Macaca mulatta: one gene and its partners. The protein of the gene in region 2 binds, or shares a complex with, the protein of the main gene of each other region. Links are inferred from orthologs where the notes say so. Each region holds a gene or a part of one and is shown on either strand. Other genes may lie near its edges. The genes, in order: NUP214, NUP205, NUP160, RANBP2, NUP188 and NUP93.

Evidence for each region.
Region 1: NUP205 (region 2) and NUP214 share a complex: the UniProt entries of both Homo sapiens proteins name them as parts of the nuclear pore complex. The link is inferred for Macaca mulatta from reciprocal best matches to the Homo sapiens genes NUP205 and NUP214.
Region 3: NUP205 (region 2) and NUP160 share a complex: the UniProt entries of both Homo sapiens proteins name them as parts of the nuclear pore complex. The link is inferred for Macaca mulatta from reciprocal best matches to the Homo sapiens genes NUP205 and NUP160.
Region 4: NUP205 (region 2) and RANBP2 share a complex: the UniProt entries of both Homo sapiens proteins name them as parts of the nuclear pore complex. The link is inferred for Macaca mulatta from reciprocal best matches to the Homo sapiens genes NUP205 and RANBP2.
Region 5: NUP205 (region 2) and NUP188 share a complex: the UniProt entries of both Homo sapiens proteins name them as parts of the nuclear pore complex. The link is inferred for Macaca mulatta from reciprocal best matches to the Homo sapiens genes NUP205 and NUP188.
Region 6: NUP205 (region 2) and NUP93 share a complex: the UniProt entries of both Homo sapiens proteins name them as parts of the nuclear pore complex. The link is inferred for Macaca mulatta from reciprocal best matches to the Homo sapiens genes NUP205 and NUP93.

What each region holds. Positions count from the first base shown.
Region 1 is NC_133420.1:16,314,443-16,319,017, forward strand, and holds part of NUP214 (nuclear pore complex protein Nup214), read right to left. Parts: intron 3,080-4,575; coding exon 2,917-3,079; intron 1,352-2,916; coding exon of another isoform or gene 1,327-1,351; intron 183-1,326; coding exon 1-182. UniProt on the Homo sapiens protein: Part of the nuclear pore complex. Has a critical role in nucleocytoplasmic transport.
Region 2 is NC_133408.1:175,445,714-175,451,168, forward strand, and holds part of NUP205 (nuclear pore complex protein Nup205), read left to right. Parts: intron 1-661; coding exon 662-811; intron 812-1,399; coding exon 1,400-1,471; intron 1,472-1,833; coding exon 1,834-1,991; intron 1,992-2,346; coding exon 2,347-2,427; intron 2,428-3,162; coding exon 3,163-3,354; intron 3,355-4,126; coding exon 4,127-4,394; intron 4,395-4,493; coding exon 4,494-4,592; intron 4,593-5,455. UniProt on the Homo sapiens protein: Plays a role in the nuclear pore complex (NPC) assembly and/or maintenance. May anchor NUP62 and other nucleoporins, but not NUP153 and TPR, to the NPC.
Region 3 is NC_133419.1:17,734,812-17,740,745, forward strand, and holds the start of NUP160 (nuclear pore complex protein Nup160), read left to right. Parts: upstream 1-2,444; 5' UTR 2,445-2,625; coding exon 2,626-2,827; exon of another isoform or gene 2,828-3,086; coding exon 3,087-3,198; exon of another isoform or gene 3,199-4,771; intron 4,772-5,265; exon of another isoform or gene 5,266-5,465; intron 5,466-5,934. UniProt on the Homo sapiens protein: Functions as a component of the nuclear pore complex (NPC). Involved in poly(A)+ RNA transport.
Region 4 is NC_133418.1:19,360,560-19,364,851, forward strand, and holds the end of RANBP2 (E3 SUMO-protein ligase RanBP2), read left to right. Parts: intron 1-661; coding exon 662-935; intron 936-1,056; coding exon 1,057-1,382; intron 1,383-2,427; coding exon 2,428-2,733; 3' UTR 2,734-2,935; downstream 2,936-4,292. UniProt on the Homo sapiens protein: E3 SUMO-protein ligase which facilitates SUMO1 and SUMO2 conjugation by UBE2I. Involved in transport factor (Ran-GTP, karyopherin)-mediated protein import via the F-G repeat-containing domain which acts as a docking site for substrates.
Region 5 is NC_133420.1:18,703,365-18,709,520, forward strand, and holds the start of NUP188 (nucleoporin NUP188), read right to left. Parts: upstream 3,769-6,156; 5' UTR 3,759-3,768; coding exon 3,727-3,758; intron 1-3,726. UniProt on the Homo sapiens protein: Component of the nuclear pore complex (NPC), a complex required for the trafficking across the nuclear envelope. Required for proper protein transport into the nucleus.
Region 6 is NC_133425.1:52,443,434-52,447,715, reverse strand, and holds the end of NUP93 (nuclear pore complex protein Nup93), read right to left. Parts: intron 3,009-4,282; coding exon 2,880-3,008; intron 2,106-2,879; coding exon 1,860-2,105; 3' UTR 1,422-1,859; downstream 1-1,421. UniProt on the Homo sapiens protein: Plays a role in the nuclear pore complex (NPC) assembly and/or maintenance. May anchor nucleoporins, but not NUP153 and TPR, to the NPC. During renal development, regulates podocyte migration and proliferation through SMAD4 signaling.

The DNA of each region.
Region 1 (4,575 bases), on a different chromosome or scaffold from region 2:
GTCTCGTGAGTTTCGGTTTCTGTTGTTTCTTTCTGGGTGTATGTGTTCTGATGGCAGCGTCGGTCTGAGCAGCCTGCTCCAGCATTTCTCGGTGAAGCAGCTGAGGATGCAGTTGGTCCCAGGGACCGAAGGGCCTGCTGACACCCCCTCAGCTTCGCCAGCCACCAAAACCCTGCACAGACCTGCAAGGAAGCACAGGAGAGTGGTGGAGTCAGCTGCTCTGTCACAGAGCAGTCACAGGCTCTGCTGCTCTGCCTGTGGGCAAAGGTCAGGACTCCGATTTTTTATTATTATTTTTTTGATAGAGCCTCACTCTGTTGCCCAGGCTGGAGTGAAATGGCGTGATCTCAGCTCACTGCAACCTCCACCTCTCAGGCTCAAGCACTTCTTCTGCCTCAGCCTCCCAAGTAGCTGGGATTACAGGCATGCACCACCATGCCTGGCTAATTTGTGTGTGTGTATCTATATATATATATATATTTTTTAGTAGAGATAGGGTTTCACCATGTTGGCCAGGCTGGTCTCAAACTCCTGACCTCAAGTGATCTGCCCACCTTGGCCTGCCAAAGTGCTAGGACGACAGGTGTGAGCCACTGTGCCTGTCCAGTTTTGTTTTGTTTTTCCTTTTGAGATAGGGACTGGCTGTCACCCAGGATGGAGTGTAGCAGTACCATCTTGGCTCACTGCAGCCTCGACCTCCCAGGCTCAAGTGATCCTCCCACCTCAGCTTCTGGAGTAGCTGGGACCACAGGCATGAGCCAGCATGCAAAGCTAATTTTTAAAATTTTTAGTAGAGATGGGGTCTCACTATGTTACGCAGGCTGGTCTTGACTCCTGGGCTCAAGCAATCCTCCCACCTCAGCCTCTCAAAGTGCTGGGATTATAGGCATGAACCACCCACCTGGCTAAGACTGAATTTTAACGCCATGAAATTCTACACAGAAGCAAAGAGGATGGATCAGCACAAGACCTGGTGATGGCCCAGAGCCCAGGGGTTAGCACACGGCTTCCGAGAAACCCACAAGGGAAGTCACGAGCAGCATCTCCTCAGCGCTGCCCTCAGGCCCGGCTCACTGGCAGGCTGCTCTCTTTCTCTCTGAACCATGTCTCTTAAGAAGGCGAGGCCTGGCACCTTCTGTCACATTGCTACGGAGAAGAGCAAGTCCACAAAACCTAAACCCTGCTGCTGAACCCCCACACTTCCAGGACAAACTCTAAAAACAGGAAAAAATGAAAAGAAAATGCACAAATCCAGCAAGATCCACACACTTCCAACCTTATTTAATGCTTTTAATTAAGGTCAGACTCAAAAAGGGGGATACTTACGAGTTATTTGATCCAAAGCTGAAGCCTGAAAAGCAGAAGACAGAAGTTAAAGCACGCGTCCACTTGAAAGATGAAGGTGGTCCCCATGCTAAGTGCCTGCCCTCCTGTGCTTCTCAGTCATGGGAAGCCCTCCATGCCTCCCCCACCTACAGGAAGGCAGGAAAGGTACATGCAGAAGCCCCTTTATTCTGAGTTTGTCCTCTGGAGCTGCTCAGATCCCCCAGAAGGCAGAAGAAATCCTTTACTTTTTATGAGTTATCTTCTTGGTATTTTAGGTTCTTCCTCCCTCCCCGGCCCCAGCTGTAGGCAGAGGGTCTCTGGTTTGGCCTCTCTCTCAACTGCGCTGGACCACACAGATTCATTTCATTAGGAAAACTTTTTTTTTTTTTGTGCTGTGGTTGTTTTTCCATCCATTTGCTTCCTCTTCTTTTTGAGGGCCAGAGAAGCAAGATGGCTGGATTCTAAGCCTGGTTCTGCTGCTAACTGACTCTCGGCAAATCACTTAGTTCCTTGGAGTTTCTGTTTCGTCATTGGTACGACTGTAATGATACCTAAATTCTGTGCCTCATCAGTTTATTGCAAGAACAAAACGGAAGACACATATTCTGCCGTCTGAAGAAGCAGAGTGTTAAACAAATGCAACATGTTTTGTGAAGTTTCTACGTGTTTTCTTTTTTTTTTTTTTTTAGTCTGTTGGCTTAGATTTTTAAACCAAGGCCTAGTAAGACCATTATTATGTTGGGCTTCTCAAATCCTGAGAGGAAATAAAGACAGTAATTTCTTTGGTAAGAAATGACACAATGTTCTAAGCCTAACCAAAACCTAAAAAATATATATATTTCTTCATTGGTATGAGATACATACATATATATATATATATTTATTTTTCGGCTGGGCGCGGTGGCTCACGCCTGTAATCCCAGCACTTTGGGAGGCTGAGGCGGGTGGATCATGAGGCCAGGAGATGGAGACCACCCTGGCTAACCCAATGAAACTTCGTCTCTACTAAAAATACAAAACATTAGCCGGGTGTGGCGGTGGGCGCCTGTAGTCCCAGCTACTCAGAAGGCTGAGGCAGGAGAATGGCATGAACCTGGGTGGCGGAGTTTACAGTGAGCCGAGATCGCACCACTGCACTCCAGCCTGGGCAACAGAGCGAGACTCTGTCTCAAAAAAAAAATTTTTTTTTCAACCACTTTCAGTATGTTATGTATTTATTTATTTTGAGACAGGGTCTCATTCTGTCACCCAGGCTGTAGTGCAGTGGTGCAATCACAGCTCACTGCAGTCTCGACCTCTCGGGCTCCAGTGATCCTCCTGCTTCAGCCTCCTGAGTAGCTGGGACCACAGGTGTGTGCCACCATGTCTGGCCAATTTTAAAATTTTTTGTAGAGAATGGGGTCTTGCCATGTTGCCCAGGCTAGTCTCAAACTCCTGGGCTCAAGTGATCCTCCCGCCTTGCCAAAGTGCTGGGATTACAGGCATGAGCCACGTGCCTGGTCAGCTTTTAAAATACTAAACAGACTGGTCAGGTAAAACATACTCATTTGTTTGGGGGAAGAAGGCAAGAGGGACCCATTGTGCTTGCGCAGGGAGAACTTGTAGCAGCTCACCTCCTGTGCCTGATCCAAAACCAGAGAATCCGCTACTCTGGGTCCCAAAACCAGAAGTCTGTTGGGACAGTGATCCGAAAGTGGGGGCGTTCTGACTCGCGAGTGTGCCGAAGGATGTGGTGTTGCTGCTGCTCCCAAACCTGCGCTCCAGTGAGAAACAGACCGAGGTCAGTGGGGCCTCTCACCACTCGGCCATCTGCAAGCCTCAGCCCCCTGCCGTAAATCTCAATATACACGACACACATGATCCAGGGTGACAGGCTGGGCCTAACTAGCAGCCTTTTAGAGAGAACGAGCTATCGTTCAGGGCCAACTTTTATCTCTGCTCTGGGAAGAAAAACGGCAGGACTACAGTATGAAATCCAACCTGGCCAGTGTTTTGGTTTCCATCCCCTATCAGAACACCAGGGCATTTGGGAACTGTGCAGTACACATTTCCTGCTCTACCTCCAACAATCCTGAAGCTTTATTCTATCATTTTAGCATTTCTCACTTACCGACCATTCCCCCACACCCCGCTCCCATTTATTTATCTTCAGCTCCTCTTGGGATCTTGATTCTATTTACGTTTTCCAAGTCGTTTCATTCAGGATTTTGTATTTGTTTCCTGAATCAATAATTACTATCCAAAACAATGTAAAAGTGGCCACCATTTTCTTTCCCCTGCTGGCCCCACCTGGAGACAATCCCCTGTGCACCCTCGCTCAGTTCTCCCTCCAGATATGGTCCAGCACAGAAGGTGGCACTGTGTGGCCTACCAGAGCCCCCTGAATCATTTGCAGAGGAATTCAGCTGGGTTGGCGAGAGCTTCTGGGGTCTGGAGGTGACTAGGTGAGGGAAATAGATCAGTGGTTTCTGGGAGAAGGGGCAGCACCTGGGGCAAGAGTCAACCCCAAAGCAAGAAAAAGTATCTAAAACTCCCCCTTCCCACCATTCTATTCACCGTTAATGGTGAGGTCAAGGCTCTTTCCATACAAAGGTGGCCAAGGGATCTGCCCTCATTGGACTTTCTCCCAGGAGCATCTGCTCCCTTCCTCCTCCTGCCTTGGGCCTCATCAGCAACAGCCTGCCCTTCTCAAAGGCCTGCCCTTCAGGGTAGGAGACAGGCTCATGGCCAGGGACCTGGAAGAAGGTAATGGGCTTTTATGGGGATTTAATAACTGACCTGGTATTAACCCTTTTTAGGACTGACTAACCAGCCAGTCAGGATTTGTGTGAGAGCTGCCCCAAGGCAGAATATGATACTTTTCTACTAGTAAAGAAAACAGCTGGTTTCAAATAAATAAATCAATTCTCAAGATACCCAGTCAACCCACACCTTCCACCAACTCTGTGGTACTATGTGCTAGGTCATCACTGCAGAGAACAGCGTCCATTAAGACCTCTGAGAATACCAGCCTAAGTGGGTCTCTAACTGTCTTTTCCAAGCTTTCCTTAACTTAATTCTTGGGGTTTCCTGAGGGCAAACCTAAGGCATTAGTCTCCCTGTGAAACAGGAGCAGCAGCACGCCAACCCTCATTCTTGCTGCTGCGCTCCAGCATCTTGCATGGAGGGAAAGGGTGTGAGTAAGAACATACTATAGTTTATTTTCAAGATAAAGATGCTGTTAGCTTGCCAAGACTCAGATCCCAAGTA
Region 2 (5,455 bases):
AGTATTGGATTAGAAAACTCTTATTGTGGGACCAGGCATGGTGGCTCACGCCTGTAATCCCAGTGCTTAGGTAAGCTGAGACAGGAGGATCACTGAGGCCAGGAGTTCAAGTACAGCCTGGGCAATAGAGTGAGACCTTGTCTCAACAATAAAACATAAATAAATAAAAATAAAAACTACTGTATAAGTGATTCTCAGCCTTAATTAAATGTTAAACCACATCCTTAATTGAGGTATTATAAAATCATGCAATTTAAGTTTAATTTTTCTTAAGTATTTGTTTTGTGAAATCAAAACCAAACTATGAGAGTTTTTGAGTTATGTATTTGAAAATTACTTTAAAATATTGTTTTATATATCAGTGTCAAAAAACGATAGACTCAGGATCTTTGTGAAATTAAAATCAGTAATGAAAACTTGATTCTCTTTTACTCTTCATTTACTTTAGCTCATCTTTCATAGATTTATACTAGCTTATTTTTTCTTCCTTGGTATCTTTTTTTTTCTCTTGTAATTTTACAGATGAGAAATTTTATGTTGCTGAGTTTCATAAATTATTGACTTTGTTACATGGGAAATATCTGTTGAATTACAGAATTTAAGTCTGTTTTGATACTGTGTTATTACTCTGGGAAACAAAATTTGCATGTTTAAATTCTAGAATATGAAATATCTATGCTGAACCAGATGTCATGGCTTATGAAAACTGCCTCAATAGAACTAAGGGTAACCTCTCTGAATCGTCAGCGGTCACATACCCAGAGGCTCCTACACCTCTTACTGGATGACATGCCAGTGAAACCGTACTCAGGTGATTATTGGTATTTGTTTTATTGTGCTGGTGACTAGTTGTTGTGAAGACAAACACAAATGTGAAGCTTGTGCTTAGTATGTGACTATAAACCAAAACTATCTTCTCACTTTTAGAATTTTTTTTTCTTAAAACACAAAAATTTTAACTCATCTTATGATTGACATTTATTATTATTTTAAGCATCCACATGACACTATAGTCATACCGGTATTACATACAGAATTGTCAGTGGAGTTTGTCATACTAAGCCAGCATGACCTAAGCTATTTCAATATGTATTCATGCAAATTAAGTATAAACTTTTAAAATCATCTCATTGGCATGATTGGATCTTGCCGTTTTTGAGAATCTGATTATTCTCTTTACAATAGTGAAGTGGATTCCATAGGGACAGAAAGAATTAGATGAATGTTGGTAGTAAGTCCTCGTCAGTCTTTGCATTTTAATTATCCATTTGCACAGGGCTGTTTGATGCAGAAACAATGACCTACAAATAAAATACCTTATGTTAGTTATTTCCAAATAAATGTAGTTTTAAGAGTATGTTCTTCTTTTTCTGATTCAATATTATTGATGTTCCAACAGATGGTGAAGGAGGAATGGAAGATGAAAACAGGTCTGTTTCTGGGTTCCTTCACTTTGACGCTGCTACGAAAGGTAATCCCCTTTGAATTTGTAATCAATTTATTTTATAGACATACATTAAATTGCTTAAAACTTCAAGGGATTATTATGCCTGTGCCTGCAAACTCTGAACTGGTATAGAAAAGCTATATAAAGGATTATTTGCCACCTGAAAATTTTTTTATAAAAGGATTATACAACAGGAAAGAAAATATTTTTGTTAATGGATGTATCAGAAATAAAATCAAATTTAGATTCCAATACAGTTTTCAGTTTCTTGACTATTTTATGCTGTTTCTGAAAATAGCACTATCTTTGAAAATCAACTGAATATGATGGTTTGCCCTTCCTTTCGATGTCCCAAGTAAAATCAAATTACTTTTTGTTATTTCTAGTACGTCGAAAAATTCTAAATATTCTTGACTCGATTGACTTCAGTCAGGAGATCCCTGAGCCTTTGCAGTTGGATTTTTTTGATCGGACCCAGATTGAACAAGTTATTGCTAACTGTGAACACAAGAATTTACGGGGACAGACAGTCTGCAATGTCAAGGTGAGGGTTGCTTTAAAGTACATATCTGCAGTGTCAAGTGGCTCAGACCTTAAGTCATCAGAAACAAATAGAACCATACAGGTTTTCTTTCTGATAGAGACATTGGTTTACTAGTTTATAGGAAGGACTGTGGTTTTTGTAAAATATCCCTGAAATAAATCTTAATGTATCACACTAACTTCTTGAAAAGGGATACTTAATATTTTGGTCTGGAAAGTGGACGTTGCTCTTGTTAGATTATATATAAAGGTATCTGACGCCTTTCCCTTTAGGGCAGTTTATGATAATTGCTAGGTGTTATTGTTCTACCAGTGTCTGAAATGTCTTATTTTTCTTTCTTTTCTTAATTATCCAGCTTCTTCATAGGGTTCTTGTAGCTGAAGTAAATGCCCTTCAGGGTATGGCAGCCATAGGACAGAGACCTCTACTCATGGAGGTAAGCTCTATTGAGTATGTGTTCGTTTCAACCTTTTAACTACTTAGGTTGCTGGTGAAAAGACTAAAATAGTATATTAACGTGTAGTTTGCTAATTAGTAAGCTACCTAAAAATTAAACATTTAGGGAGTCTTTCACTTTTGATTTTATAACTTTTATAAGCTGAACTATCTGGTATGCCGAAATAAATAACACCTTTTCTGCTAGACTAGTTAAGGATTTGCAGCCTGACCATATTTCGTATTATACCTCACTTGGTCCCCGTCAGTGAGAGAGGAGGGTCATTTGTCATCACAAGTGGAAAGTTACAGGTAAGAGGTCAGATGGGAAGAACCACATGCATGGAGACATAGCTGGCCAGGCCAAAGCAAGAGGCAAAGAAATAAAAGAGATGTCAGGGAAACATGCCATTGAACTTGGAGTTTAAATAATTCTAGTGCTCTAGAGTAAGCAAGTATAAGTAGATAGGTACAAGGAGAAAGAAGATAGTGTCAAAAAATACAAATTTATCTATGCCACCTCTGTCCCCTACCTTTCATGCACATACACACACACACACATACACACCTTATATATTAGTATTTTTTATAGCCCTGGCTACTGAAATAATATGAAAAGATATCTGCTTTGTGGCATGCATGTAGTAGGTTTCCAAATAGATATTTTCTGAGTAACTGACAGATAACTGATCTTATTTGCCTGTTTAACCTTGTGATTCCATTCCTGTGGCTTTAGGAAATCAGCACTGTACTTCAGTATGTGGTAGGAAGAAATAAATTGCTGCAGTGTCTTCATGCAAAACGTCACGCTCTGGAGTCGTGGAGGCAACTGGTAGAAATTATACTGACAGCTTGTCCCCAGGACCTCATTCAGGCAGAGGATCGACAACTGATTATTCGTGATATTTTACAAGACGTGCATGATAAGGTGACATACTTCCTAAATTACTTTATACTGCTGAACAAATATGTATCATTTAAACGAATAAATTTTGGCACCCCAATTGTTTTCCATTTTTGATTAGGAATAAAATAGAATTGCACAATACCAACATTAAGACTTTCCTTGAGAAAGGGATTAATTCTATACAGTAGTGACTGTCAACCAGAGTGTGTGTCCGAATTATCTAGGGAGCTTTGTAAAAGTTCACATGGACAAGCCCACCCCAGACCTACTGAATGTAATGGTGAGACCTTTTATGTGAATTTCAAAAAGAAAACCTCCTTAGGGAATTCTGATAGGAATCCCTTCTGGTTAAGAACACCCATTACCTAGCATCATATTTAAATTTCTCTGTATATATTAGATTTTTTTCTTTCTTTTCTTTCTTTTTTTTTTTTTTTTTTGACTAATTTCTGTATTCCATTCTTATATTGTTGTCACAGTTGACAAACTAAATATATATAAAACTTGTTAATGGGCTGTATGCAGTGATTCATGCCTGTAATCCCAGAACTTTGAGAGGCCAAGGTGGGAGGATCGCTTGAGCCCAGGAGTTTGAGACCAATCTCCTGAGGTGGGAAGACCACCTGAGCCCAGGAGGTCAAGGCCGAAGTGAGCTGAGATTATGCTACTGCACTCCAGCCTGGGTGACAGAGCGGGACCCTATCTTAAAAAAAAAAAAAAAAAAGCTGTGAAACTTGTTAATGATTATAGCTGAAAGCAGGATTCTCACTCTGATTTGCCCTTGTCCTTTAAGATACTGGATGATGAAGCAGCGCAGGAGTTAATGCCTGTAGTCGCTGGGGCAGTGTTCACACTGACTGCTCACCTGAGCCAGGCCGTCCTCACCGAACAGAAGCAAACATCAGTCTTGGGACCAGCAGATGCCCATTACGCTTTTATGCTTGATAGTTCCTTCACCTCACCTCCTCCAGAAGAGAACCCATTAGTGGGTTTTGCTTCTATTGGAGATTCTTCACTTTACATCATATTGAAGAAACTGTTAGACTTCATTTTGAAGACAGGTTTTTTTCATCTAAAATTTCTATAAATTCTATCCATTGTATTTGTTTTAACTTTAATTGAGAAAAGATTTTCATTTGACATCTTCCTAATCTCCCTAGGTGGTGGATTCCAGCGAGTGAGGACTCACTTGTATGGCTCTCTGCTTTATTACTTACAGATTGCCCAGAGACCTGATGAGCCAGACACCTTAGAAGCAGGTAGAATGAGATCAATTCCTAATCTTTTCTGGATTGGGAGATGGTTACTTTTTAAACTGAAAAAAAAAAAATCACTTCTCCATCTTTTGACTAATCACAACTGTAATAAATGAGTGTTGGTGTCATTTTTTAAAGCATTTACTCAAAAGTTGAGGGAGAATGTTTAGTTTTTAAGAATTATGAAGTAATACTTGAATACTGCTTTTAAAAAAACCTTCAAATAATACTTTAGGTTTATATACTTCTGTAACTCCCTCACTTGCCTCAAGTCCCACTGAGCAGTATGCTCTACATAGAATGGCCCAACGTCTTTCTTTCCTTTGTGCTACATCAGAGTACATATCTAGTTGATTCTTTTAAAATATCTCTTCCTGGCGTGGTGGCTCACGCCTGTAATCCTAGCACTTTGGGAGACCGAGGCCAGTGGATCACCTGAGGTCAGGAGTTCGAGACCAGCTTGGCCAACATCATGAAGCCCCATCTCTACTAAAAATCAAAAAATTAGCGGCCACAGTGGCTGGCATCTGTAATCCCAGCTACTCGGGAGGCTGAAGCAGGAGAATTGCTTGAACCCAGGAGGCGGAGGTTGCCCAGATCATGCCACTGCACTCCAGCCTGGGCAACAAGAGTGAAACTCCATCTCAAAAAAAAAAAAAAAGCCACAAAAAGTCTTTGTTATTCCATGATATGGATGAAACACTTATTTAGCCATTTTCCTTATTCATAGGCATTTCAATTGTTTCTAAATTTTTATTACAAAAATGCTACATCAATTTTTTTTATATGCCTATATTTCTCAGAAAGGATGCTGCTTAATGGTAGAATTTCCATGTGAAAAAGTATGTACTTTTATTTTAATAGAT
Region 3 (5,934 bases), on a different chromosome or scaffold from region 2:
CCAACATGGTGAAACCCTGTCTCTACTAAAAATACAAAAAAATTACCCAGGCTGGGTAGCACATGCCTGTAATCCCAGCTACTTGGGAGGCTGAGGCAGGAGAATTGCTTGAACCCAGGAGGCAGAGGTTGCAGTGAGCCGAGATCTTGCCATTGCACTCCAGCCTGGGCGACAAGAGCAAAACTCCATCTCAATAAATAAATAAATAAATATATAAATAAAAATAAGAGAATGAGCAAGAAGGAATTAGAACACTCGAGTTTTGCTGTGGGTGAGAGGAGAAGAGATATGGAGTAGTAGCTGCAGAGAGTGGAGGTCGAGCGAATGTTTGTATGCTTAGTACATACAGTACTAAGTAAAAAGGGAGAAAAATTGAAAATGGAAATAATTTAATTGCTGGAATGATGTCCTTGAGCAGCTGTTCTACGGAAGTAGAAAGGTTGTCTCAGCATAAGCTCAGAGACAGTTTAATTTATAGTAACAGGAAGGGAAGGCAAAATATGTGGCTACAGATGGTGGTAGGTGGGGAGATGTCATTGTAGAGGAAGTCCTCCCTTCCTCCTTCCTTCTTTTCAGATGGGTCTCTTTCTGGCCATGCTGGAGCGCAGTGGCAGGATTGTAGCTCACTGTATCCTCCAACTCCTGGGTTCAAGAAATCTTCCTATAGCTGGGACTACAGAGGGACACCACTATGCCTGGCTAATTAAAAAAAAAAAAAAAATTATTGGAGATGGGGGTGTGTTGCCCAGGCTTGTTTTGAACTCCTGGCCTCAAGCCATCCTTCCATCTCAGCCTCTGATTGCTTTAATTTTCTAAATGAAGCAGCAAGTGGAGAGTCAGGATGATGACGGAGGCAGTGGAGGTTTCGGGAGTTACGAAACACTCATTTAGAACAGTAAATGGAGAAAGCAAATACCATGTGTTTGCCAGGCAGCAAGATAGGTCCACTCAAGGTACATGGTCCTGATGGAGTTAGAGGGAAGCATGTCAGTATGGGTGTATAGTTTTCTGTTTTCTTTCTTTTTTTTTGAGATGGAGTTTAGCTGTTGTTGCCCAGGCTGGAGTGTAACCGCGCGATCTCGGCTCACTGCAACCTCCACCTCCCAGGTTCAAGCGATTCTCCTGCCTCAGCTTCCCAAGCAGCTGGGATTACATGCACGCATCATCATGCCCCCGCTAATTTTTCTTTTTTTTTTTTTTTTGGAGACGGAGTCTTGCTCTGTCACCCAGGCTGGAGTGCAGTGGCGCGATCTCGGCTCACTGCAACCTCTGCCTCCCGGGTTCAAGTGATTCTCCTGCCTCAGCCTCCCGAGTAGCTGGGATTACAGGCGTGCATTACCATGCCCAGCTAATTTTTTGTATCTCACTGTTTCACCATGTTGGCCAGGCGGGTCTGGAACTCCTTACCTCGTGATCCGCCCACCTCTGCCTCCCAGAGTGCTAGGATTACAGGCGTGAGCCACTGCGCCCGGCTAATTTTTCTGTTTTTCGTAGAGGCCGGGTTTCACCATGTTGGCCAGGCTGGTCTTGAACTCCTGACCTCAAGTGATCCTCAAGTCTTGGACTCCCAAAGTGCTGGGATTACAGGCGTGAGCCACCACACCCGACCTTGGTGTATAGTTTTCTTCAGGCACGTTCAGCTACAGATTTGAATGTAATCGAAGTTGTTTTTACTGATGAAGAGTTAGGCAATGAAGTAATTTAATGGTATTCAGGATAAGGAAGAAACACCAAAGAAGTGAGGGACAGTGAAGAGCTTGTATAACAATGGATTTCAGGTAGAATGAGGGGGCTGCACTGCCAAAGTTGGTGTCCCAGAGGGAGTGAAGTGGAAAGATAGGAAATGATGGTCGGAACCAGATAAATGAAACAGAGAATGACAGGGAATGGCTGTGGTCACTGGTAATAGAAGTGACCAACAAGCGTTGGCTATCACTAAGGAACAAAACCTTCCCTGCTGGAGATTAGCATTTTCCCCGATTTTGAACATCTACCCCCACAATATCTTCTAAACATCCACTATGGGCCCTTATTGCATTGACAGCCAAGTGCAAGATCACGGTTGGAATGAATGGCAAATTCTTTTCACGTATCCAAGTGAGTAGCACTCAGGTAACCTCAGCAGGTGGCAGCATCAAGGTTTACCACATTACGTTTCATTATACAGGAATACACGAATACAGTCTCTTGGGGGGAAAAAAGACCAAAACCAAAGGCCCTTCCCTCACTACCCCTTCCTCACCCCGCCAACCCAAGTGCCACTGAAGAGCGAAGGGAGGATCGGCAAAGATTTACAGACGGACACCCTAACCGAGGGAGAGGTGACCAAACACCCGGGATCCGGCAGAGGACGCCCAAAGGCCGGACCTCCCCGGACCTCGCCCCTCCTGGGAGACTGAGCCCCGCGTTTTGGAAACAGAAACAAACCCGGTCCCGCCCCCTGCCCTGCGGCCGCTGAGAAAAGGGCACCGCCCTCCGGAGGCGTTCCAGCCGGCCACTCGAAGATTCCAGCAGATACAGTCGGCCTCCCCTGCCCGCTTCTCTTCTGGATTCCCCGCTGCCCATCCTCATTCTCCCGGTGGAAGCCCCGCAACGAAGGACGGAAGCCCCCTTTCTGCTCCCGGGATGCTTCACCCGTCCGCAGCTCCGCCCGCCCCGCCCCCGGAAGTGACGGCGGCCGCGCGGCCCTGCCTTTGTCCCGTCGGGCATCGCGGCGACGGCGGGAAGATGGCGGCGGCGGGATCCCTGGAACGAAGCTTCGTGGAGCTAAGCGGGGCTGAGCGCGAAAGGCCGAGGCACTTTCGGGAATTCACAGTCTGCAGCATTGGTACGGAAGTGGCCAGGGAGGGCGCGATCCGATCTGTCCCCTCGGGCTCCTCTCATGGGTCCTAGGGTCTCTGACTGCTGGGTTCATCCTCCTGAGTCCACATGCCTCCAGCCCCGGGATCAGAGATTCCTTGATGTCCGACGTTTTCCTCTTTTCTTTGTATGGGTTGTCAGTCTGTCACCCTCTGCTTTATCAGGTCCCTTAGTCCCTGTCATTTCTCAGAAGACGCGTGTGCAGGCTGACCACGTTCATTTTGCAGGGACCGCAAATGCCGTGGCTGGCGCCGTAAAATACAGTGAGAGCGCGGGAGGCTTTTACTATGTGGAGAGTGGCAAGTTGTTCTCCGTAACCAGAAACAGGTTCATTCATTGGTAAGTGCTGTGGTTCGCCAAACTCCCCTGGAAGGTAGGGTTTGGTGTGTAAATTTTAGTTGCTGTTCCCAAAGTGCTATTCTAGAAGCGGTAATCGACACTTAGGGAAAGAGAAAGTTTTTTTTTTTCAGTTCGTATCAGAGTCGGGAAAACTGAGACAGTTCTAGAAGAGTTTACCCTCCCCCCCCACCAATACACACACACACACCAAGCAACACCAAAAGCAGAGGGAATGTAGCTTAGGGGTATAAAGCCCATAAGACTAGTTTTAAACATGAACCCATTATGTTTTTATAGTGCTTTACAGCTTCCTTCATTGAACAAATATGTTCGAGCTTCAATATGTCAGGCATTGTGCTAGGTACCAGGACGAAATGAACAAAACTGCCATCTTCATCATGCAAGACGTTGTAGCAATGTCAGAATAGTTGTGGACTCACTTTTCATGGGGAAATTTTGTGGAGGAAAACTTGCCCTAGAGGAAAAATACAGGGGTTACGAGAGGCTAATGAGAGGACCAAATGTTATTAGTGGGGCAGGAAAAGGCTTTCACAGTTACCCTGAGATCTAAAGGACACGAGGTTAGCCAGGTATGGGGAGTGGACAGAGAGGAGTCCAGCAAGCAGGATCACCATATGCAAAGGTCACAAAGTGGAAAGAATGTGGCAGGTTTGGAACTGACCAAAGATCTGTGTGGCTTAAGTGCAGTGGGTAAAACAGAAAGTAATGTGAGATACTGAGGCTGGAGAGGTAGGCAGGACTCGGACCATGAGGGACCCTTAGGCCATTTTTAAGGATTTTTGGATTTTATCCTAAGTACATTGAGTAATAATGGAATAGGTTTTTAAAGAGTTACTAACATCAAAATTGCATTTTTGGATGGGAACAGTTAACACTGGGGATTCCAAAAGGAGCGGGGGAGCAGAGGTTGGAAAACCTATCAGTTACTGTGTTCACAACTTGGGCGGCAGGATCATTAGAAGCCCAAACCTCATGTAGATAGGAATATATACACAATATACTCATGTAACAAAGCTGCACATGTACCCCTGAATCTAAATTTTTTAAAATGTATTTTTAGAAGATCTCAGTCTACTTTGTGGAAAGTGGATTTGGATTAGATGGGTATAATGCAAAAAAAAGTTTGCTTTTATGATGGCCCAAGTAAGGGTTGCTGGTGGTTCAATTGTGGGAATGAATAGAAATAGAAAAGTAGATGGATTCAAGATACCTTTGGAAGATAGATTCACTAGGACTTGGTGGTGGATTGAATATGGGGTAAGGGATGGTAAAAGAAAAGGAGAGAACAAGGACAGCTCCCTGGTGTCTCATGTGACTAACCAGATGTGAGTGGGGAGGGGTTGCCATTTACAGAGATCCATAGAAGATGGATTTTGGAAAGATATGAATAATTCTGTTGGACATAGTAAATTTGAAGTACCTGGGGAGCAGCCCTTTGGAAATGTCAAGTAGGCATTGAAATTTACAGGTCTAAGGCTCAAAAGAGAGACTTTATGTTAGAGATACAAATTTCATTTAGTTAAATATTTTGGCTGGGCACAGTGGCTCACACCTGTAATCCCAGCACTTTGGGGGGCTGAGGTGGGAGGATCTCTTGAGGCCAGGAGTTCAAGACCCCATTTCTACAATTTTTTTTCTTTTTTCTTTCTGTTTTTTTTTCTTTTCTTTTTGAGAGACAGTCTGGTGGCTCCATTGTCCAGGCTGGAGTGCAGTGGTGCAATCATGGCTCACTGCAGTCTCCGCCTCCTGGGTTCAAGTGACCCTCCCACCTCAGCCTCCCAAGTAGCTGCAATTACAGGTATGCGCCACCATGCCCAGCTGATTTTTCTATTTGTTTTTGTAGAGATGGGGTTTTGCCTGGTTGCCCAGGCTGGTCTTGGACTGCCGGACTCAAGCAGTGCCCCATTCTCGGCCTCCCAACTTGCTGGGATTACAGGCGGAGCCACCATGTCCGGCCTGATTTTTAAAAATTAGCCAGGCGGGGTGGCATGTGCCTTTCATCTTAACCACTCAGGAGGCTGAGGCGGGAGGATCTGATCATGCCACTGCACTCCAGCTTGGGAAACAGGGTAAGACCCCATCTCTTTTATAAAAACAGGAAGAAATAAAGGAAATTTGCTTGCCTAATATATTTCAGTCCATTTTTAGGGAATAGGGATATAGCAGGGAACAAAACAAAGTTCCTACTCTCATGGAGGAAAATAGGCAACAACAACAATAACTAAAAAAACAAAAAACCCAAGTACATGTAGTTTTGTTACAGGAAAAGGGTGCCGATCCAGGCCCCAAGGGAGGGTTCTCAGATCTCACACAAGAAAGAATACAGGGCAAGTCCGCAGTGCAAAGTGAAAGCAAGTTTATTAAGAAAGTAAAGGAGGGCCGGGCGCGGTGGCTCAAGCCTGTAATCCCAGCACTTTGGGAGGCCGAGACGGGTGGATCACGAGGTCAGGAGATCGAGACCATCCTGGCTAACACGGTGAAACCCCGTCTCTACTAAAAAATACAAAAAACTAGCCGGGCGAGGTGGCTGGCGCCTGTAGTGCCAGCTACTCGGGAGGCTGAGGCAGGAGAATAGCGTAAACCCGGGAGGCGGAGCTTGCAGTGAGCTGAGATCCGGCCACTGCACTCCAGTCTGGGCGACAGAGCGAGACTCCGTCTCAAAAAAAAAAAAAAAAAAAAAAGAAAGTAAAGGAGGCCAGGTGTGGTGGCTCACGC
Region 4 (4,292 bases), on a different chromosome or scaffold from region 2:
ACTTATTTTTCATTTTTAAGTTTAAAACTTACCCTGGCTTGATCTGTCAGGGTATCATTGTTTGCATTTAAGAATGTTTACAGTTTGAAATGGAAGCTCTATTTATTAGATGTCTAGCCTTTAAGTATAAATTATCTTTTTGCAGTTTTTACATAAATATTGGTTTATAAATTCTATATGTAATTGTTGGGAAGAAATAATTTTTTCGTATGTTTCTAGAATATCATGTTTGTTTTTATAACATGATTCTGGGGAAAAATTAACCTCATACGAAAGTCCTTTCAATAAACATTAATCTGTGTTTTTTGGACAAGAACATTGTTCTAGGAAAATTATTTTGTCATTTTTAACCTCAGTATCTTATATATTTCTCTTCAGTAGCAGACACTTTTGAAACCTCTGTTCCTATAAAGAAAAGCATTTAATTTCCAAAGGGAAAATGAATACTATATAAAAGAAAATATTTAATGACAAATCAGGTCTTTACTCCCTCAGCCACATCAGATGTATTCCTAGCCCTAAGATATATAACCAATTATTATATTAACAAATTCTCTTTGTCATCACAAAGAAAATGCCTTAAAAGAATTTGGATCTTTGAAATTTGTCATGGAATTTATTATAAGCAGCAGCTTATAGAGTATTTCATCTCCTATTATAGGTAGAAGTAAAATCTGGAGAAGAAGATGAAGAAATTTTGTTTAAAGAGAGAGCCAAACTTTATAGATGGGATCGGGATGTCAGTCAGTGGAAGGAACGTGGTGTTGGAGATATAAAGATTCTTTGGCATACAATGAAGAACTATTACCGGATCCTTATGAGAAGAGACCAGGTTTTTAAAGTGTGTGCAAACCACGTTATTACTAAAACAATGGAATTAAAGCCCTTAAATGTTTCAAATAATGCTTTAGTTTGGACTGCCTCAGATTATGCTGGTGAGTTTTTACATTCAAATGTACTTTTCATTTTTTGGACTTTTCTAAAATCTATAACAAAACAACTTATAACAGTTATTTTAACACTAAGGTCACTCCTTCCCCTTTCCCTCCTTAATAGATGGAGAAGCAAAAGTAGAACAGCTTGCAGTGAGATTTAAAACTAAAGAAGTAGCTGATTGTTTCAAGAAAACATTTGAAGAATGTCAGCAGAATTTATTGCAACTCCAGAAAGGACATGCAGCAGAATTATCAAAGGAGACCAATCCTGTGGTGTTTTTTGATGTTTGTGCGGACGGTGAACCTCTAGGGCGGATAACTATGGAGTTATTTTCGAACATTGTTCCTCGGACTGCTGAGAACTTCAGAGCACTATGCACTGGAGAGAAAGGCTTTGGTTTCAAGAATTCCATTTTTCACAGAGTAATTCCGGATTTTGTTTGCCAAGTAGGTATTATTAAGTACATACCGCAATTGAGGTCTTAAAGAGTGCACCACACCAGCGGGAAATTTGGGTGTTTTTCCTGGACCTCATCCTGTAGTTTTGTTTAAGATTTCTTTAGGTTTTCCACACATGGAATCACATGGCATCACTACCCATTCCCTGCTCCTGCCTAAAACTTTCACCCTAAAATAATTTAGGCTGGGCACAATGACTCACACCTGTAATTCCAGCACTTTAGGAGGCCAAGGCAGGCAGATTGCTTGAGCCCCAGAATTTGAGACCAGCCTGGGCAATGTGGCAAAAATCTCATCTGGACAAAAAATACAGAAATAAGGCGTGATGGTGTCCGTCTGTGGTCCCAGCTACATGGTGGCTGAGGTGGGAGCATCCAGGAAGCCAAGGCTGCAGTGAGCTAGGTTTGCGTCACTGCACTCCATCCTGGGCGACAGAGTGAGACAGCCTGTCTTTTTTTTTTTTTTTTTTTTTTTTTGAGACGGAGTCTCGCTCTGTCGCCCAGCCTGGAGTGCAGTGGCCGGATCTCAGCTCACTGCAAGCTCCGCCTCCCGGGTTCACGCCATTCTCCTGCCTCAGCCTCCAGAGTAGCTGGGACTACAGGCACCCGCCACCTCGCCCGGCTAGTTTTTTGTATTTTTTAGTAGAGACGGGGTTTCACCGTGTTAGCCAGGATGGTCTCGATCTCCTGACCTTGTGATCCGCCCGTCTCGGCCTCCCAAAGTGCTGGGATTACAGGCTTGAGCCACCGCGCCCGGCGAGACAGCCTGTCTTTAAAAAAAAAAAAAAAAAAAAAAAGTTAAATTTTCAGTACTTGAGACCTAGTAGATAGAGACTAAGGGATGGGAAAAACCTTTTCATTTTTCATCTTCTTTCCAACAATATGAATTTCTTAGGTTTCAGATTATACTCAGGAAAGCTGGGCTTTAGGATTTATCCTGTAGCGATGAGTTCTGTGTGTATTTTAGTATTTTACTCAGGATTCCTATTAATTGAAAAAAATTTTTAAACTTTTGTTATACATTTTTTTTTCAGGGAGGAGATATCACCAAACATGATGGAACAGGCGGACAGTCCATTTATGGAGATAAATTTGAAGATGAAAATTTTGATGTGAAACATACTGGTCCTGGTTTACTATCCATGGCCAATCGAGGCCAGAATACCAATAATTCTCAATTTTTTATAACACTGAAAAAAGCAGAACATTTGGACTTTAAGCATGTAGTATTTGGGTTTGTTAAGGATGGCATGGATACTGTGAAAAAGATTGAATCATTTGGTTCTCCCAAAGGGTCTGTTTGTCGAAGAATAACTATCACAGAATGTGGACAGATATAAAATCATTGTGTTTCATAGAAAATTTTATCTGTATAAGCAGTTGAGTTGAAGCTTAGTTATTACAATTTGATAATTATGTTCAGCTTTTGAAAATGGACGTTTCTGATGTACAGATGTAAAATTGCAGCTTATAGCTGTTGTCACTTTTTAATGTTATAATTGACCTTGCATGGTGTGAAATAAAAGTTTAAACACTGGTGTATTTCAGGTGTACTTGTGTTTATGTACTCCTGACATATTTGTATTAAAATGGAATAATACTAATCTTGTTAAAAGCAATAGACCTTCTCAAACTATTGAAGGAATATGATATATGCAATTTAATTTTAATTCCTTTTAAGATATTTGGACTTCCTGCATGGATATACTTACCATTTGAATAAAGGGACCACAACTTGGATAATTTTACTTTAGATTTGAAATATATTTGGTAATCTTAACTATTGGTGTACTCATTTATGCATAGAGACTCATTTATGAATGGGTAGAGCCACAGAACGTACAGAGTTAACCAAAGTGCTCTTCTCTAGAATCTTTACACCTCCTGTGTGGTTACAAGTTAACTTTGTAAGTAGTGTACCTTCCTTCCTTAAAATATCTAGCTTCCTGTGCTCTTTCATAGGTATTCAATTAATTTTTACATTTTAAACAAGTTGACTATTTCCTTTAGGGGTTTTGTTTTAAACTTTTCTGTCATCTGTCTCTACTACCTCAGAAACTGCAGCTTGGTTCTGATGATAGAAATTGAATTTTTCCTTGTAGTTACTGTGATAAAGTATGAATATTTTTAGAAAGTCTATGCCATGTTATTTGGTTAAAGATTTGCTTTATACAGGATTGTTGCAGTACCCTTTTCTGGTAAATTTTGTAGCAGAAATAAAATGACAATTCATAAGAGCCACTGACATTCAAAAAATTCATTACTTGTGCTTCTGGTTATTCTAAAGGAAGACAATTCAGAGGCAGTAAATTCAAACTGCCGCCTAACTTCCAGAGCTAGTTTCTCAAGTTTGATATACACTGAAAATGTATTTGGAAATGGCTTGTATCAAATGTTAGGCAAATTGCTAAAGAAAAGAGGATGTTCTTATTGGCCTACTCGATATGGAACTACAAAGAATCCAGGTAGAACACAAAATTCTGTATATTGCAATTATGAATACTGACTCTCTTCCACCCAAAGAACACATTCTTTCTGGTGAAATTACCTCATTTTATTTAGTGAGGAAAGACAGGTTTATTCCCTGTTATATGGGGATTTGGAAATTGGGTATCCTAAAGCAAGTAACTGTTCAAAAGAGGGGAGGGATGTTGTGCGAGTAATGATTGATGGTATACCATCACCATTCCACTCAGCCACAAAGCCAGATACCTGAAATAAACCTACTCAAGAACCATGGATTACATATGTTTACACTAAATATTTCAAATTGGCTTATTTGGAAATCTATGTAATATAAACTGATGTAAAGTGTGTTGTAACTTTTCAGCTGAGACAGCTGATGCCTTCGTCATGATTTTAGAATAAATTCTTAACAATGCAAGTGCGTTTTAAGAGA
Region 5 (6,156 bases), on a different chromosome or scaffold from region 2:
ACCATCCTGGCTAACACGGTTAAACCGTCTCTACTAAAAATACAAAAAATTGGCCTGGGGTTGTGGCGGGTGCCTGTATCCCCAGCTACTTGGGAGGCTGAGACAGGAGAATGGCATGAACCCAGGAGGTGGAGCTTGCAGTGAGCCGAGATCGTGCCACTGCACTCCAGCCTGGGCAACAGAGCAAGACTCCGCTTCAAAAAAATAATAATAATAAAATTTAAAAATACTGTTAGAAATTTAGTGTTCAAAATATAAATTAGGAAACTAAAACATAAGATTTTAACCTGGCCAGGCATGGTGGCTCATGCCTGTAATCCCAGCAGTTTGGGAGGCTAAGTTGGGTGGATCACCTGAGGTCAGGAGTTTGAGACCAGCGTGGCCAACATGGCCCCATCTCTACTAAACAAAAACCTCATCTCTACTAAAAATACAAAAATTAATCGGGCATGGTAGCAGGTTCCTGTACTCCCAGATACTCGGGAGGCTGATACACAAAAATCGCTTGAACACAGCAGGCAGAGGTTGCAATAAGCCAAGATCACACTACTGCACTCCAGCCTGGGTGACGATGTGTCTATCTCCAACAAACAAAAAAAGACATTCTCTCAATAAATAGTTATTACTTAAAAAAAAAAGTTATTAAAGGTACAGAGATTTTATTTTGTCAGATTCTAAACCATCACTGAGAATAGTAATCTGTAATAATCAAACACTGCTTAGAAAGCCTATCTGCAGAGAGAGAAGGGATGAAAAGATCCTAAACTATGCTAAACATTTTGCAAAAAGAATGCAAGCTATGGCTGGATGTGGTAGCTCACACCTGTAATCCCAGCACTTTGGGAGGCCGAGGTAGGCGGATCACGAGGTCAAGAGATCGAGACCATCCTGGCCAACAAGGTGAAACCCCGTCTCTACTAAAAACACAAAAATTAGCTGGGCATGGTAGTGCGTGCTTGTAGTCCCAGCTACTTGGAAGGCTGAGGCAGGATAATCGCTTGAACCCGGAGGCAAAGGTTGCAGTGAGCCGAGATCGCATCACTGCATTCCAGTCTGGCGACAAGGCGAGACTCCTTCTCAAAAACAAACAAACAAAAAAAAAAGAATGCAAACTATGTTAACTACAAGGTAAAACGAAAAAATAAGCCGGGAACGGTGGCTCACACCTGTAATCCCAGCACTTTGGAAGGCCAAGGTGGAAGGAGTACTTGAGCCCTGGAATTTGAGACCAGCCTGGGCAACATGGCGAATCCCTGTCTCTACAAAAAAAAATAGAAAATTAGCTAGTGTGGGCCGGGCACAATGGCTCACACCTGTAATTCCAGCACTTTGGGAGGCTGAAGCGGGCGGATCACTTGAGGTAAAGAGTTCGAGACCAGCCTGGACAGACCAGATGGTGAAACCCCATCTCTACTAAAAATACAAAAATTAGCCAGGCATGGTGGCAGATGCCTGTAGTCCCAGCTATTGGGAGACTGAGGCACAATAATCACTTGCACCCAGGAGGTGGAGGTTGCAGTGAGCTGAGATCGCGCCACTGCACTCCAGCCTGGGCGACAAAGAATCTGTCTCAAAAAAAAAAAAAAAAATTAGCTAGTGTGGTGGTGTGCACCTATGTTTCCAGCTCCTGGGAGGGCTGATGATGTAGGAGGCGCCACTGAGCCCTGGAGGGCAAGGCTGCAGTGAGTCATAATCAGGAGTGATCAAGGAGGATCACCTGAGCCTAGGAGTTCGAGATTAGCATGGGCAACACAGTGAGATCTTGTCTCTACAAAAAATACAAAAATTAGCCAGGCATGGTGGCATGTGCCTGTAGCCCTAGCTACTTTGGAGGCTGAGGTGGGAGAATCAGTTGGGCCAGGGAGGCAGAGGTTGCAGTGAGCCAAGATCCTGCCACTGCACTCCAGCCTGTGTGACAGAACAAGACCCCTTCTCAAAAAAACAAAAAAAACAAACAAACAAAAACAAAAAAAACCACTGTAACACAAAGCACTAGCTCTGTTTTAAAATTGTCAGTCTGTAAGCCCAGCACTTGGGGAGGCCGAGGCCAGCGGATCACCTGAGGTCATGAGTTGGAGACCAGCCTGGCCAACATGGTGAAACCCTGTCTCTATTAAAAATACAAGAAATTAGTTGCGCGTGGTAGCGGGCGACTGTAATCCCAGCTACTCAGGAGACTGAGGCAGGAGAATCCTTTGAACCCAGGAGGCAGAGGTTGCAGTGAGTGAAAATCGGGCCAGTGCACTTCAGCCTGGGCAACAACAGTGAGACTCTGTCTCAAATAACTAGTCTTTTAGGATTTTCTCATCAAAAGAGGTTTAAACACACCTAAAATTTATACATCTCTTTCCTAATGGTTAATGCTTTAAAAGCAACTTCGATTCTGCTCAATTAATAGCCACCAACTCCCACATGGCACACTGGAATCACTAATCATTTTTCTCATAACAAGACAGTATTCAGGCCAGGCATGGTGGCTCATGCCTGTAATCCAGCAGTTAAAGAGGCTGAAGCTGACAGATCACTTGAGGTCAGGCGTTCCAGACCAGCCTGGCCAAAATGGTGAAACCCTGTCTCCACTTAAAACACAAAAATTAGCCGGGTGTGGTGGTGCGCACCTGTAGTCTTATCTACTGGGGAGGCTGAGGCAGGAGAATCGCTTGAACCCGGGAGGCAGAGGTTGCAGTGAGCCGAGATGGCGCCACTGGACTCCAGCCTGGGCGACACAGTGAGACTCCATCTCAAAAAAAAAAAAAAAAAAAAAAAGTGGGGAAAACACTGCTGGCACAGGGAAGGATAAGAGGCAGGGATGTTTAATTTTAAGGAGGGAGGGTGGTGGGAAGACCGAAGACCTTCGAGCTGCAATGTGGAAAACGGAGGGAGGCGTGGTGGTCTGGTTATAGCACTGGAGGCACGCAGACTTCAGCCTGAATCCTCTCTTTATCACTTGGCTAGCTCTGAGCCGGACTTCTGAGTCATCCGTGAAATACAAGGCGCCTCTCGGAGTTGCGAGAATTGAATGAGGTAACTCATGGGAAGCGCTCCATCAGGGTCTGACGCTAGAAAGCACTTTGTGAGAATTGTAGCTTTCGTATGTAATATTTCATCTTCTTGTCCCTAAAGCCTAGTTCAGTCCCTTAAATCTCTTGGAGGATTTGGACATGCTCGCCGACTGATTCAATGCAAGAAAAGAACGATTCGAGGCGTGGAGAGGGCAGAAACCGCAAGCGCGGCTCCGCTCGACGCGAAACAAAATCCTAACAAGAACAGACCGCGGGAGAGGTTGGGGAGCCAGCAGGGCGCACTCGACGCCGGGGCAGGACACTGGGAGCCTGCAGCAGGGACGTGGGTGGGGGGTACCCGAGGCGACCGCAAAGCTCCCCGTGGCTCGAGGGAGCGTCACGGCCGGACAAGGAAGCGCGGGTGGGGCGCCAAGGGACGCGCCGGAGCTGAGAGGAGAGGAAGGCAAAGTCCCCTGGATGAGGAGATGGGAGGCCAACCGCGGAGCGAAGGGGTGAAGAGCCGGCCCCCCTCCTGAAGAAGACTTCAGATCCCCGCGCGCGGGGACCGTTTGGACGTAACCGCCTCCTGTCTCAGTGCCCGTCCACCCAGCCGGGGTTGGCCCTGCCACCGTCGCCACATCCCGCCTCCAATTCCCGCCCCTCTTCCGCTCGGCTTTGACCCCGCGCCTCACAGCCACCCCGGTCCACTCGACCCGCTCCGCACCTCACACACGGCCCGCCGGCGGCCGCCGCCATCTTCGAGCGCGCGCGCGCCCTAACCCCGCCCCCAGACGCCATGCCCACGTGACCGCTCGCCCCCGGACCGGGAGCGTGGGCGGGGATTTCATCACGTGACGTTGCCGCGGGGCAGTGCCAAGATGGCGAGGCCCAAAGAGGTGAGGAGCCGGCAGCGGGGGCGGCTGTAACTGAGAGGAAGGCTGCAGAGTGGCGACGTCTACGCCGTAGGTTGGAGGCTGTGGGGGGTGGCCGGGCGCCAGCTCCCAGGCCGCAGAGAGTGACCTGCGGTGGAGTTCCCTCCTCGCTGTTGGAGAACGGAGGGAGAAGGTTGCTGGCCGAGTGAAAGTGCCTCCCTCTGCTTGGCGGGGCTGAGGGGCCCGAAGTCTAGGACGTCCGTAGTCACCCCGGCCTCTGTGAAGCCCCAGGTCTAGAGACATGACCCGAGAGTGCCCATCGCCGGTCCCGGGGCCTGGGGCTCCGCTGAGTGGATCGGTGCTGGCAGAGGCGGCAGTAGTGTTTGCAGTGGTGCTGAGCATCCATGCAACTGTATGGGACCGATACTCGTGGTGCGCCGTGGCCCTCGCAGTGCAGGCCTTCTACGTCCAATACAAGTGGGACCGGCTGCTACAGCAGGGAAGCGCCGTCTTCCAGTTCCGAATGTCCGCAAACAGTGGCCTACTGCCCGCCTCCATGGTCATGCCTTTACTTGGACTAGTCATGAAGGAACGGTGCCAGGCTGCTGGGAACCCGTTCTTTGAGCGTTTTGGCATTGTGGTGGCAGCCACTGGCATGGCAGTGGCCCTCTTCTCATCAGTGTTGGCGCTCGGTATCACTCGCCCAGTGCCAACCAACACTTGTGTCATCTTGGGCTTGGCTGGAGGTGTTATCATTTATATCATGAAGCACTCGCTGAGCGTGGGGGAGGTGATCGAAGTCCTGGAAGTCCTGCTGATCTTCGTTTATCTCAACATGATCCTGCTGTACCTGCTGCCCCGCTGCTTCACCCCTGGTGAGGCACTGCTGGTATTGGGTGGCATTAGCTTTGTCCTCAACCAGCTCATCAAGCGCTCTCTGACACTGGTGGAAAGTCAGGGGGACCCAGTGGACTTCTTCCTGCTGGTGGTGGTAGTAGGGATGGTACTCATGGGCATCTTCTTCAGCACTCTCTTTGTCTTCATGGACTCAGGCACCTGGGCCTCCTCCATCTTCTTCCACCTCATGACCTGTGTGCTGAGCCTTGGTGTGGTCCTACCCTGGCTGCACCGGCTCATCCGCAGGAACCCCCTGCTCTGGCTTCTGCAGTTCCTTTTCCAGACAGACACCCGTATCTACCTCCTAGCCTATTGGTCTCTGCTAGCCACCTTGGCCTGCCTGGTGGTGCTGTACCAGAATGCCAAGCGGTCATCTTCCGAGTCCAAGAAGCACCAGGCCCCCACCATCGCCCGAAAGTATTTCCACCTCATTGTGGTAGCCACCTACATCCCAGGTATCATCTTTGACCGGCCACTGCTCTATGTAGCTGCCACTGTATGTCTGGCGGTCTTCATCTTCCTGGAGTATGTGCGCTACTTCCGCATCAAGCCCTTGGGTCACACTCTACGGAGCCTCCTGTCCCTTTTTCTGGATGAACGAGACAGTGGACCACTCATTCTGACACACATCTATCTGCTCCTGGGCATGTCTCTTCCCATCTGGCTGATCCCCAGACCCTGCACACAGAAGGGTAGCCTGGGGGGAGCCAGGGCCCTCGTCCCCTATGCTGGTGTCCTGGCTGTGGGTGTGGGTGATACTGTGGCCTCCATCTTTGGTAGCACCATGGGGGAGATCCGCTGGCCTGGAACCAAAAAGACTTTTGAGGGGACCATGACATCTATATTTGCGCAGATCATTTCTGTAGCTCTGATCTTAATCTTTGACAGTGGAGTGGACCTAAACTACAGTTACGCTTGGATTTTGGGGTCCATCAGCACTGTGTCCCTCCTGGAAGCATACACTACACAGATAGACAATCTCCTTCTGCCTCTCTACCTCCTGATATTGCTGATGGCCTAGCTGTTACAGTGCAGCAGCAGTGACAGAGGAAACAGACATGGGGAGGGCGAACAGTCCCCACAGCAGACAGCTACTTGGGCATGAAGAGCCACGGTGTGAAAAGCAGATTTGATTTTTCAGTTGATTCAGATTTAAAATAAAAATCAAAGCTCTCCTAGTTCTAGTTTTGCTGATACTTATTTTTTATTATTATTATTTTTTTGAGACAGTTTTGCTCTTGTTGCCCAGGTTGGAGTGCAGTGGTGTGATCTCGGCTCACCAATCTCCGCCTCCCAGGTTCAAGCGATTCTCCTGCCTCACCCTCCCTAGTAGCTGGGATTACAGGCATGTGCCACCCCGTGCTAATTTTGTATTTTTAATAGAG
Region 6 (4,282 bases), on a different chromosome or scaffold from region 2:
ACGGAAACAAAACCAGAAACCCCACCCTAGTGGGCCCATGTGCCTGATGTACTGACAGTGTGCCGACCCAGATGTCCCCAAAGCATGGCACTTAATTCATGAGGACCTCCATCTGCACCAGCCTCGCATTGGTGTCCCCAGACGTTCGGTAGGGTATCATTCCAGCAAAGGTAATCAGAGTTCGGGCTTGACTTCGGAGTTGCTGAGAGAAAAGGGAAGGAAGCAAAGGAAATTGGTTAACTTTTGAGTCAGGGCACTATTCCATGTTCTTCCATCCTCCACCCTGGGGTGTCAGGGACAGATCCCTGGTGGGTGGATGACAGTCGTACCCTCCTCTGTCGTATTCCTTCAGCATGACACAAAGTTAACAAAGCTCGTCCCCCAAGGCCCCTGTTCCACAGGCATCCAAACCCATTTACTAAGCAAAAAGCAGATGGGTTTGCCAGGCAAGCCGCCTCGCCCCAACACATTTGGCTAGCTTTTGACACAGCCCTGAGCTTCAGAACTGCCTGCTCCAATTTTCAGAGCCTCTCTCTCTGGCTGGTTTCTGTCCATCTGCTTTCACAGGGATCTGAGTCTCCAGAGCCCCATGAAGCCCTTGTAACACCGGAGGCAAGGGCTGTGACTGTGCAGTCCCACGCCGGCTTTCTTCCTCCCATGCATCTTTCCTCTTCCTTCCTTTCGTTCCTCCTGTTTTCTCCCTTCCTGATATACATGCTTAGCCCTTCTTTCCCCAGGCAACAGTATTTATGGAATTCCTGGATTGTTCCAGGAGGGAAAAAGGTGGCCCTACAAATTTAAACCAAATCTGGACTAGAAAGGGAGAATCTACAAACACCTTTCTGGACTAGTAACAAGAATTTAAAGAAAAACTGAAGAGTCATCTACTAGGCTTACTTAAGGACCATTCCAGAAGAAAATTGAAAAGCAAATGCTTTTTACCTGATGTGTAAAACAAACTAGCGAGTGCATGTCCTTACTAATGTCCAAACAAAAAGAAATCTGACTTTGTGATAGGAATACCCATTGTATTTTCTTTAGAAGTGAATGAAAGTGCATGGGCTCTTTGAAATGAGCTCTAGGGATGTTCAAGTAAAAGGATTCACTCCCTTACTGGGCAGTATCTCACTTTAAACCATGAAACCAAGGACATCAGTGGGCTTGCAGACCTCTTGGGCACGCAACTTTTATATATAACCTTTTACTTAATCCTATTCGCCCCTACCTTTCAGAAAAAGAAAGAAAAAGGAGAGTGGTGGGCAAAAGGCAGGCAGGAGAATGATCTTCAGACATGGGACATGGCCTGCCAGAGACCAGCTCCTCTCAGTGGGCAAGCCTGCCTGAACTGTAAGTGGCACACAGAGCACCAAGAAGTATCCACTATCTCAATACTCACATTCACAAACATCACTGCACTGGGTTTCTATTATCAAAAAAGATTCCTGCCAAGTGGTAGGCACCATGAGCCCACCGCTGGCACATCTGGCGTTTAGATTCCTATCTGTCCAGGGTAAGGAGAAGACCAGCAAATGCTCTGGTGCGCACCTGGACGGGCTGACCACTTCAGTGGACCACTCTTGAGCACTGTTACCCACATTCCTAAAGGTGGAAATTTCCACCATCTTTCACTAAGCACAAGTTTTATCAACAACAATGCCTGTGGGGTCACAGTGGAAAGAGCTCACAGACATCCTCAGAGGCAGAAGACAGAACATGGCTTCTTGGCTGCCAAAACCAAGTCTGATGTTAGACACTGAGATCCTGAGAGTCTCATCAAAAATTAAGCGGAAATGTTAAAGGAAAGGTAATTTTAAAAAACATCATTGTGGGGCTGGGCACGGTGGCTCACACCTATAATCCTAGCACTTTGGGAGGCCGAGGTTGGGGGGATCTCTTGAGCTCAGGAGTTCGAGATCAGTCTGGGCAACATGGCAAAACTCCATCTGTATATAAAGTACAAAACTCAGCTGGGTGTGGTGGTGCACACCTGGAGTCCCAGCTACTTGGGAGGGTGAGGTGGGAGGGTGGCTTGAGCCCAAGAGGTGGAGGCTGCAGTGAGCTGAGATCATGTCACTACATTCTAGCCTGGGCGACAGAACCAGGCCCTGCCTCAAAAAAAAAAAAAAAAAAAAAAAAGAAAAGAAAAGAAAAGAAAACACCATTGTACTATCCCCTTATGGTTTAATTGGGTCAAAAAATACCTTTGCTCTTTTTTTTTTGTAATCAGACAACATATGCTGTGAGCCCCAGGGTTCTAGCTACCTGGATTCCACTTGACCCACGCACTGCCAGAGGTCCCACAGGCAGCAGAAAGGGCACAGGTGTCAGAGACCCAGCCTCCAGACATGGCCCCTTCACCTACCTGCCACCTGAGGGCAGTTGCTTCCCAACTCCACAGCTCAGTTTCCTCAGCTGTGAGAGGGGATAAGATGCTGTGCTAGTTACCTCTGTAGGGTCACTGTGAACACCGTGACAGGAGAAACAAGGGTTCACATTAAATTAATGTGTTGATCAAAAATAAAGTATGGTTTTAATAAAAGTGTTCACTAATGAGCTAGGACTAACAAAATAAACTTATCTTTTAAAATGTGCAGGAAGTTCTTAAGGAGTCAACTAGAAATTAGCATTCTGTGTGATCTGTTAAAAGGTAAGATTTGCAGACCTAGCACTTCTTTTTATTTTTTTAAGCTTGAGAAGAGCAGCAATCCCTTTAATGTTTGATTTCCTCTGGGAGCCCCCTAACACGAGATTTATCCAGCTGCCAGGTACTAAGGAGAAAGAGCAGTTTTGGGTCACGTGGTCTCTTAATAAGAGTGCAACGGATTCCAAACCAGAAAGGTGGTGCTCAGCAATGTTTCTCGTGAATGCTGGGATCTTACAGAGTCGCGGTCCTCGATGACTCTCTGGGGCCTGGATGATGAGGATGGACTTGTCCCCTTGAGCCTCTTAAACTGTGTGAACAAGATGTTCATGGTGGCAAGAAGCACTTCTGAGAGGTTGTGCCTGATCTACACAGAGAGAAAAACGGAGTAAAGAACAAGAACCAAGCCTTTCGGGCCAACCACAGATGGAGGGAGGGTGGGCTGCTCCAGGCGGGCCTGGTCGCATCACTCCTCACCATTACCAGGTGGAGAGCCACACAGTCACCCAAAAGGAGCTGATGGCACTGAAACATCAAGTGTGAGAAAAAACCCCAAGCAATGCTCCTCAGGTCAGGTGGTTACTGTTTCTGCTCCTTTATGCTGTTTATGCTGTTTTTCCCTTAGTCAGGGGCAGCAAGCCAAAAAAAGCATGCTGACATCTGGTTAGCATTAGGCTTAGACTGGCCAGCAGAGTGGATGCCAATACATAATTTGAATTTGAATGTCAGGAGGTACAGGTGCACATGCTACTTCTCCACAGTCCCTACCACTCCCCACTCTCTCAAAGTCAGTGGGCTGTTTCCACTGGATCTGCATGGCCCTACCAGAGTCCTTGGGAGTGTCTACAAGGGCAGGCCCTGGTGTACTACTTTAATCTCTGATGCAATGAAGGATGTATTCAAGGAAAGGCTAGAAATAACAAAGGAGCAAGTGGCTAAGGGTAGAAACCACAGCAGGTATAAAGGGAAAGTCAGCAAGGGGTAAGACCTTCTGAACTGTGTGTACCACAGTAGTCAACATCCCTCTTCATGTGCAGAACTGGCCTTACTTCTTTCTCTAAAACAGAAACTTTTTTTTTTTTTTTGAGACAAAGTCTCCCTCAATCGCCCAGGCTGGAGTGAAGTGGCGCAATCTCAGCTCACTGCAACCTCTGCCTCCTGGGTTCAAGCGATTCTCATGCCTCCGCCTCCTGAATAGCTGGGACTACAGGCATGCGCCATCATGCCTGGCTAATTGTTATATTTTTTAGTAGAGACGGGATTTTACCAAGTTGGCCAGGCTGGTCTCCAACTCCTGACCTCAGCTGATCCATCTGCCTCAGCCTCCCAAAATGTTGGGATTATAGGCGTGAGCCATCGCACCTGGCCAGAGACATTTTATAAAAGGCATCTGCTCAATGAGGAATAATTTTAAACTGAAAAACCACTAGTGACATCCCAGAGCCAGGCAGTTGGTTCTAGCATAGTGTTGAGAGCTGAGTTGAGTGTTTGTAGTTCTAGAGATGAATTTACCTGGGCCACACACTGGAATGACTCAGGGAGGTCTGGGCTGCAGCAGTCAGGGAAACCAGAATCTCTGGGGTCTGGGCATGAGAGTTCTTAGAAACTCTCCTAGAGATGCCAGTATGCAGCCCAGCTGAG